Linked DNA regions of Saccharomyces cerevisiae S288C. The gene in region 3 interacts genetically with the main gene of each other region. Each region holds a gene or a part of one and is shown on either strand. Other genes may lie near its edges.

The links.
Region 1: mutations in MCY1 (region 3) and CBP4 together harm fitness more than expected from each alone (negative genetic interaction), as found in Saccharomyces cerevisiae (2 studies listed by BioGRID).
Region 2: mutations in MCY1 (region 3) and MEK1 together harm fitness more than expected from each alone (negative genetic interaction), as found in Saccharomyces cerevisiae (3 studies listed by BioGRID).

What each region holds. Positions count from the first base shown.
Region 1 is NC_001139.9:845,321-848,070, forward strand, and holds CBP4 (Cbp4p), read right to left. Parts: upstream 1,086-2,750; coding exon 573-1,085; downstream 1-572. Other genes in the region: YGR174W-A (uncharacterized protein), read left to right, coding at 1,335-1,421; ERG1 (squalene monooxygenase), read right to left, coding at 1,613-2,750.
Region 2 is NC_001147.6:994,446-998,122, reverse strand, and holds MEK1 (serine/threonine protein kinase MEK1), read left to right. Parts: upstream 1-1,611; coding exon 1,612-3,105; downstream 3,106-3,677. Other genes in the region: TFIIH complex subunit TFB6, read right to left, coding at 1-910; MNE1 (Mne1p), read left to right, coding at 3,268-3,677. UniProt on the Saccharomyces cerevisiae protein: Probable protein kinase required for meiotic recombination.
Region 3 is NC_001139.9:511,372-514,912, reverse strand, and holds MCY1 (putative cysteine synthase), read right to left. Parts: upstream 1,755-3,541; coding exon 573-1,754; downstream 1-572. Other genes in the region: SNU71 (Snu71p), read right to left, coding at 1-359; nicotinamide-nucleotide adenylyltransferase NMA2, read right to left, coding at 2,181-3,368. UniProt on the Saccharomyces cerevisiae protein: Putative cysteine synthase that catalyzes the conversion of O-acetyl-L-serine (OAS) into cysteine, the last step in the cysteine biosynthesis pathway. However, this CS-like protein is unlikely to function in cysteine biosynthesis.

The sequences.
Region 1 (2,750 bases), 330 kb from region 3:
TCATCCTAAACGTTCATAAAACACATATGAAACAACCTTACAGCAAAACGAACAGAATGAGCAACATGAAAATAAAACTCTGCCTTCCTTAGCTAACCTACTCTAACGTATAAGTATCTGAACAATTGGTTTAGATCCAAGATTCCGCGCTTCCACCATTTAGTATGATCCATATTTTATATAATATATAGGATAAGTAAGATCCCGTGAATCAAGCTGATAAACCGTTTTGACAACTGGTTACTTCCCTAAGACTGTTTATATTAGGATTGTCAAGAACCTTGACATTACCCCATTGCATGATGCAATAATCTCATATAAATAACAAGCGCAAGTGGTTTAGTGGTAAAATCCAACGTTGCCATCGTTGGGCCCCCGGTTCGATTCCGGGCTTGCGCAATGTTTTTTCCATCCCCAAGTATGGGAACTAAAATAGCTAAAAATAAGTATGAAGTTATATTTTTAAACCTATTTACAGTGTACAAATAAATAATATATCATAAATGACACAGACGTATGTTTTAGGATGCAAAAGTTCAAGCTGCCCTTCCTAATTGAGTGACCCGACCCATCTACCAGAAGCGCCACCAGCTTTTAACCTGCTTATCCTGGACTATTTCCTTTGTTTTCTCCTCCGTTTCAGATCTTAGCTGAGACAGTTCATTTCTGATCCTAGCCAACTCTTCTTTTTGCACCTCCTCCGCCCTCACCTTAGCAAAGTGATCTCTGCTTTGAACGTTATCACCGTTCCTTTCCCAAGGTGATTGAAGGGGGCCCGTCTTCCAAATTGGATCGTCACTTTGAGAAGTTTCCTTAACAATTTTCATCAAAGCCTGCTGCTCCGACTGACGTAGTTTTTTCTCCCTCTCATATTGTAAACGTAATTCTGGGGAAAGCTGGCTGATTAACTGTTGATCTGTTGGCGTTGTGTACTTGAAAAGCAGAAACCCGCTTCCAATAATAGCGCCACCAATTGCATAGACTTTCAACCAACGTACCCACAATGGTCTTTCCATACCCAAATAATGCTTATACTGTCTTTGTTTTGCTATTACTGCCTCTCTAGGAGTTATCGCGCACTGCATGTATATAAAATTTTATCTTGATAAAATACCCCGGGGGATGAGCAAAAAAAGGGATATGGGGAATGAAAAGTGAGATAAACTAGCAATAATCTATTCTAATAAGTAGAACATTCACAAAGACTACTATGGTGTAATTCTGAAAGGATTTACGAGAGCACAAATACTATTATGTATAATTCTGACTGCAGAATCCGGCAAGCTTGATTTAATATCACTTAAGGAAGTAATATCGTTAATTGATAACCGAATATGAATCTCAATGCATATTTTGAAGCATATCAAGCCATTTTTCCTTTTCTGTTGGAGGCATTTTTAAGGAAAGAACAAAAAGTATAAAACACTTCGGTTAATAATAAATGATATGTGAATTTTTTTGAAAATATGTAAAATAAATAAGTAATAAATAAAAATAAGATGTGTTTATCGTAATGTACTATACAAGCCTTCCAAGCCGACTTCTGTAATAAAAAAAAAAGGTGCAGCTTAATGTTTGACGGTTCCTATCCTCTCTCCCTTATAAGCTGTAGTTAACCAATCAACTCACCAAACAAAAATGGGGTGAATACTCTAATAGCTGTGATCAAAATCATAATACCTTCCAATAAAGCCATTGGTAATCCCAAGAAACCACGTTCTTCCATGTTCAAGTAAATGGTGTAAAAAGCGACAGCGAAGAAAACCCTGGTCAATTGCAAAGGCTTTGGCAAGACACCAGACAGAAATTCAACGGGTTTGTTGACACAATCGCCACCTCTTTGGAAATATTTGAAACAACCTTTTTGTAATGCCTTCAAGTTATCGCTGTCAGCAGCGAACAAAGAATACAAAGCCACTGACAAAACGTTAATAACGGAATCGTAACTCTTTCTTTCGAAATGGTAGTCTAGTAATTCATCCAAAACCTTTTCACGGTCGCTGAAGTCTAGGTCACCTATTTTCTTAATCAACAAGACAACATCATGCAAACCGACAGTCATACCACCACCAGTCAATGGATGTCTCATATTTAGAGCGTCACCGATAACACACATACCAGTGACGTCGTTTTGTCTAGCTGGCAAGTAGGAGTTTGGCATAGCTCTAAATTTACCTTGGCTGACGGCTTCATCAAATGAAGGACGTAGACTCTTTGGAATGAAAGGTTGGACATCCTTAATCATCCAACTCTTGATATCAGCTGGGACCTTTGGAGAGTTGTAAGCACAAAGGATTCTTGTTTCTTCTGGACTGATTTGGTAAACCAAGATTGGCATATGATCACTACCAAGAATAACGTGACCGTGCATAGGAGCAGGATTCTTAGCATTGAACAAAGACATACCGACAAACGAAGAACCGACAGTTGGAACATGGTCTGGGTGCAATTCCTTTCTGAAACGTGAAAAGATACCGTCACAGATAAATGTCAAGTGGGCTTTGAATTCCACCTTGCCACGGCCATCAATGTCAACCTTGGCACCAACAACCTCATTCTTTTCATCCTTCAATATCTCAATACAGTTACCTTGCACTCTAGTAACATTTGGCTCTTGAGCAGTAATGTTTCTCAAGTTGTTCAAGAATCTACCATGAACAAAAGCAACACCCCTTTCTCTTTCATCATCTTCGTAATCCTTGATGTGAATAGTGCTGTCTTCCAAGACCTTGTCATTACCATCTTTGACC
Region 2 (3,677 bases), on a different chromosome or scaffold from region 3:
CTTTTAACCTCACAATATCAGTCCCATTCAATCCTGCTATGTTCTTGCTGGCTGAAGACGTTTTAGGGACTTCTTTGCAATTATCATTATCATCAGTTAGAATTACAAATATCCTGTCAAGGATGAAGAAGAGTTTGAATAATTTGGATAAAGTGTCATTAATCTCTGAGTCTTCCATATTTTTGAATGTAAATTTTTCAACGTAATCGATGAGATCGTCCGCAATTTTTATTAAATAGGACCCTTGACCAAAATAACTAGAATATCCGCATGTATCTTTTGGGTTTCGGGAATCTGGGCAATGTCTCTTTTCTTCTGATTGAAGTAAATAGTCTGAGTTTGGAACATGGGCAATAGAATACCAAACGAAGTCAACTAAAGTTTTTAAATCCTGCAGCAGCGGAGTAAGACTGGCATAGCCGTTTTTGATATTCAGGCCCCTGGATTGAACAAATTTTCTTTGAATTTGTAAAAGCTGATCATCAACGTAAGAGATGAATTTGGATTGTTGAGACATTGACAATCTTCTCGGGTGTGACGTTCCATTGTGATCATTTGGCAATAATTCACTCAGCTTTGTGGCAGACGAAAAGGGAGAAGACACGTTTATTCTAGGCTGGAAATCGTCAACATCATCGAGCATAGTTACGTCGTTGATTGTGTTGTTAGTTTCATTGTAAACATCATTGAATTCTGGTGTATGATATCTTCTTTTCTTATTACAATTACGCTGCCATATAACGTTGTCTATGTTAGAATTTACGACATCACCTGAGTCTGCACTAATTTCTACATCTGAGTTTGGATCCAAGTTTAAATCATCAATGTCTTTTTCATCTAGATCATTTAAGTTGTTCAAGTCCAGTTGCTCATTCGGTTGAGCATGTAATGGTGTGTTTGGCTCAGACATCAAAATACTGTGTTGAAATCTTTTATTTTTATAATATTTCTTTCCTTACCAGGGCTTGGAGTCTCTACAACAGTTAGCTTACTGTTTATTCTGCCACATTTCCACCCTTTTGTGGGGCTTCTATTTCAAGGACCTTCATTATGGAAACAGGGCGAGGTTGTTTGTTCTTCCTGCATGTTGCGCGCAGTGCGTAAGAAAGCGGGACGTAAGCAGTTTAGCCATTCTAAAAGGGGCATTATCAGAATAAGAAGGCCCTATGAGGTATGATTGTAAAGCAAGTGGTGTAAAATTGTGTGCTACCTACCGTATTAGTAGGAACAATTATGCAAGAGGGGTCCTGTGCAAATAAAAAATATATATCTAGAAAAAGAGTAGGTAGGTCCTTCACAATATTGACTGATAGCGATCTCCTCACTATTTTTCACTTATATGCAGTATATTTGTCTGCTTATCTTTCATTAAGTGGAATCATTTGTAGTTTATTCCTACTTTATGGGTATTTTCCAATCATAAAGCATACCGTGGTAATTTAGCCGGGGAAAAGAAGAATGATGGCGGCTAAATTTCGGCGGCTATTTCATTCATTCAAGTATAAAAGGGAGAGGTTTGACTAATTTTTTACTTGAGCTCCTTCTGGAGTGCTCTTGTACGTTTCAAATTTTATTAAGGACCAAATATACAACAGAAAGAAGAAGAGCGGAATGAGACCGTTGTATAGCTGCAACCTTGCAACCAAAGATGATATTGAGATGGCAGGTGGCGTAGCTCCTGCTCACCTGGAAGTTAATGTAGGCGGCTATAATACAGAGCAGACAATACCTATAGTAAAGCATCAGCTCGTGAAAGTTGGGAGAAATGATAAGGAATGTCAACTCGTTCTAACGAATCCCTCTATCTCCTCTGTTCATTGCGTGTTTTGGTGTGTCTTTTTTGATGAGGATAGTATTCCAATGTTCTACGTTAAAGATTGTTCTCTTAATGGAACGTATTTGAACGGTTTGCTTTTGAAAAGGGACAAAACGTATCTTTTAAAACATTGCGACGTTATTGAATTATCGCAGGGAAGTGAAGAAAATGACATTAAAAAAACACGACTAGTTTTTATGATTAATGATGATTTACAATCTTCTCTGGACCCAAAACTTTTAGATCAAATGGGTTTTCTGAGGGAAGTAGACCAATGGGAAATAACAAATAGAATAGTGGGTAATGGCACTTTCGGTCATGTTCTGATCACGCATAACTCAAAAGAACGTGATGAAGATGTCTGTTATCACCCTGAAAATTATGCTGTGAAGATCATTAAACTAAAACCAAATAAATTCGATAAAGAGGCTCGAATCCTTTTGAGACTGGATCACCCAAATATTATCAAAGTCTACCATACTTTCTGTGACAGGAACAATCACCTTTACATATTCCAGGATCTTATCCCTGGTGGTGATTTGTTTTCTTACCTAGCTAAAGGCGACTGTCTAACTTCCATGTCAGAAACTGAATCGCTATTGATCGTCTTTCAAATTTTGCAAGCTTTAAACTACCTTCATGATCAAGACATTGTTCACCGCGATTTGAAACTAGACAATATTTTGTTATGTACGCCAGAACCGTGCACTAGAATCGTCTTGGCAGACTTTGGTATAGCTAAAGATTTAAATTCCAACAAAGAAAGAATGCATACTGTCGTAGGCACTCCGGAATACTGCGCTCCAGAAGTTGGATTCAGAGCAAACAGAAAAGCATATCAAAGCTTCTCAAGAGCAGCTACGTTAGAGCAACGAGGTTATGACAGTAAATGTGATCTTTGGTCTTTGGGTGTCATTACACACATTATGTTAACAGGGATCTCGCCTTTTTATGGAGATGGTTCTGAGAGGAGTATTATTCAAAATGCAAAAATTGGGAAGCTGAATTTCAAACTGAAGCAGTGGGATATTGTTTCAGATAATGCCAAGAGTTTTGTCAAAGACCTTTTGCAAACTGACGTAGTTAAACGATTAAATAGTAAGCAAGGTCTCAAACATATTTGGATTGCAAAACACTTAAGTCAATTAGAGAGATTATATTACAAAAAGATATTGTGCAATAACGAAGGCCCTAAACTAGAAAGTATAAATTCAGACTGGAAAAGGAAGTTACCCAAAAGTGTTATCATTTCTCAGGCAATACCGAAAAAGAAGAAGGTTTTGGAGTAATCATAGGATTATCTCTTCCTCTTTCAAACTGCGCGTAGTTCAAAATAAAAAGGTATCTGTGTAAAAAAAAAAAAGTAAGTCAATTGTATGATTTTTAAGTAAAAGTTGCCCTTTTCTACTAGAAACGGCGAGAAAAAATGATAGTAGTGTGCCAAGAAGAATATGAAGTTACTTTTTAAAAGATATTCGTCTAGTCATATTGGTAAGCTGATTAAGGACTCTTTAATCACTCCTGAAATACTACCACAGCTAGGGCGACAGCCATCATCGCATAAACGTTTACCAAATAACAAAAGAACTAACTCAATAACTGATAAATGGTTGAAGGATGCGCTAACAAGAAAAGATAAACTGAATGAAGATAAGCTCCAAAATGTAAATTTACGATTAAATGTGGTACTGACTACTCTACAGAAGCTTCGTACATCCGATAATCCTGCTTTGTATTTTGCGTTGTTGAATCGTATTGGCACAGGTCACATAAAATGGCTAAATAAAAGTGGCCGACAGATTGATGCATTCCCACCTGATCGGCTGCCTTTGGAATTTTATCATGAGCTATCTAATATGCT
Region 3 (3,541 bases):
TGTAAAGATACTGTATGAATCTGTTGGTCTAAGGAAATGGGAAGAAATTGTTTGAGCTCTTGGTAACGGGAAGAGCTTGTGGCGCACTTGTTAGCACTATTGTTATCTGCTATTGAAGCCTCTTTGTCTTTATTCAAACCAGTATTCTGGTCAGAATTGTGTATACTCCCATCATCGTTGCTATTTAGCAGTGTCTCTGATAAGCTGTTTCTGGCGTCAACTATATGTTTTAATGAGTCCTGAAAACGTTGTAGATCATTTTTGAGGATAGGGATGAACCCACTTTTGGCAGAATCACTTTTCCAACCCTCCTGTGATGACAAATACAGCTGCGGTGATACAAATACAATATCCCTCATGTTCTGTAAATCGACGTACTCTTAAGGAACTTTTATGAGCTTGATTTTGGTCCTGGTCTGTTTTTGTTCTTGATCTATCTAATTACTTTTGCACTTTTTAGCGGGCATCATTACCACGGAAAGTAGCAAAAAATGTAGCAGCGAAAACTGCTTTTTTATATTTGTTCCTACAATTTAATAGAAGATAACTCAGTACTGATTTATACATCTATGTTAGATATTTATTACTTCTTCTAATGACACGTCGTGATCGATTTCTTTAGCTTCTTTCCAGAATTTACTTAGGTGTCTTGAACCGCTGTCGCATGCAATAATCACAATGTTTGAGCCGTGAGGAAGCGTTTTTGCAACCTGAATAGCGGCTACCGCATTAATAGCTGTACTACTCCCCACGAATAGCCCGTCGTTTACCGATAGGTATTTTGCCATTCTAATGGCTTGATTATCGTTGACTCGTATTGATTCATCAATAAACTTTTCGCCCATATGAAAATTATGAGTGATTCTGTTTAACCCAATCCCTTCTACGATAGTGTCAACTTGATGCCTTCTTCTAGTACCTTCCTTCTCTACATAGTCATACATCACGCCATAGTTGACTCTATTATAAAAGCCAGATCCTTGTGGATCCGCTAGAACGACATGGCAAGGTATCTTTGCTCTTTCCTTTAAGAATTTTGCCACACCAGTTATGGTGCCACCAGTACCGCAGCCAGCAATGAATGCGTCAATATTTCCCTTAGTTTGATGGGCAATTTCTGGGCCTGTGGTCTGGTAATGTACTTTCCAGTTGGCTTCGTTTTCGAACTGATCGGCAAAAACTGCTCTTATTCCATTACCACTCTTCTTTAGTTCATTACATGCCTTTTTGGCGGCATTTACGTATTGGTTTGGATCGACAATACTAGCGGGCTTAACCTTATTAACAGTAGCACCGAGGCTTTCTAGTAATGCCAATTTTTCTAGCGATGTGTCATCGGGCAAAGAAATGTGTGCCCTATAACCCAACGCATTACAGACCACTGCTATAGAGATACCAGTCGACCCACTTGTTCCTTCAAATACCCAGCCAGGTTCACCTCTGACGAGCTCGCCTAATTCCTCAGCCGTCTTTATGATGTTTAAAGCCACTCTATCCTTAGCACTTCCTGCTGGGTTGCATAACTCCAACTTAGCGTAAATGTTAACTCCAGTAGCCTTGGTAAGAGATCTGATCTTAACCAGAGGAGTGTTTCCTATGAGTTCTTCAACGCCTTCTTTTGGACGTGGAATATCGCGTGTTTTGAACAGCTTATAGTATTTGTATGATGCATACGCGCCAATTAGGACGGAAGCGATGGATATGCATTCACGCCAGGCCAGACTGACAGAAGTCTTATTTTGAGAACAGGACATAAAGGATGTTTTGGTATATTCCGATTGATAGGGCTATTATGCAGTATTATACGGCATTGTTACTTCAAATATTACAAGACTTTTAAGTTACTATAGACGTGCAAAATTCAATATAGATCATTACCCGCATTAATAGTAACGCGAGTAGATCAAGTATCTTCGGATTCTGTATTTTATAAGCTAATTTTGCTGATTTACGTATACGATTCACTGGAATGTTTGTCTGAAAGGTTTTCCTTATGAAACTTACCGCTGGTGTGGTTATATTATAATTATTAAGTGTTAAAATAAATGTTTGACATTGTTCACATGATTGTTGCTCTGCTGTAAACATTTTAAATCGTGCATCCAGGAACTTTTTTTCTATGCACCTTGAAGAGGAAAGTGGTAAATTTGAACTGCTGCAGTATCAGAGTTGTAATAAACTCACTCTTTGCTATCCAAGACCTGCTTGACCGGTTCACTTTGATTAATGTATAGATTATACTCTTGGATGTAACGGATGACAGAGTTTGGAAGAAGATATTGAACTGACATTCCACGTCTGATGAAAAGCCGCACTTTCGTAGAGGAAATATCATTGTAAATAAGTTGTTTGATAATAAGGATATTTCTTCTGTGTTCATACATGATATCATGGGAAAGCAAGAAGGACCTAACATCAGAACCAGTCCTTTCCACGATCAAACATCCATAATTACCCAAAATATGGTGCAGGTCTGAATCAGCCCACACATGAGGCTCGCCCATGGATTCGATAAGATCACCGCCTGCCAATAACATGATTTTTACGCCCATTTTTTCACCATCTACAGTCATGATTCCACCTCTCTTGATATTTATTTCATGATTGAAATGGTCCAAGACTTTTGCTGTCCTTGTATAACTTGATTGTAAAGATTCCCAGGCATCAACCATTAACCAAGATGATGTCCGCTCGCATGCTAATTCGCACATGCGGACACGATGATAAGCTGGGGCTAACCCTCGCTTTTGATAGTTATCACTTACTGGAGAAAAATAACCACCAACCACTTCAAAACGCGTTTGCTCATTGATATCATCTAAAGCCATTTCAAACATTCTCAAATGTAGGTATGTTATGGGAGAAAATGATCCACAAGCAACGATGATCAGAGGCAGTTTTTCAGGATCTTGTAACTTTTTCGTCAATCTGTGTACAGGAAATTCGTAATCTTCAATAGTTCTGGCTTGTCTTACAATTGTGTGAGGAACTTCTTCCAAATCAGCAATTTGGCTCTTCAGTACCCCCAAATTCCCAGTCATCGTAACATCCTGTAGAGTAGCGTCAATTCCATTCGATTGCCCTTCACTTTCCTCCTCCGATGATACATCCCGAGATAGTGGCTGGAAGTCACTAGTATTTAATGGAATATGGTCCATTCGGTTGCTTGAGTTGGCGTTTTTTTTCCTTGACGACAGGGTTTTGTAAATGTCGAGATTGAAAGGAGCATCGATCGAAGAATTATAATCAGCTAAAACATATGGAACTATGGGTCCAGATTTTGGTATCGTATGTGTTGGATCTGGCGGTGGTTGTAGTTCTTCATTTGGCTGTGGCGGTTTAAAATCGGGTGCTTTGGTGGGATCCATTACGTAATAAGTGCACTTTTTCTTGCCTTCTCCACTTTAAACTCTCTCTCTCTCTCTACTTAACAGTGGAGGAACAGTGACTAAGGTAGAGTATGATTGTACTATAACTTACAGTCTACTGTCGTCACGCTGGGTCAATTTACATTGTTATTTTTCTTGGAGACGACACCGTC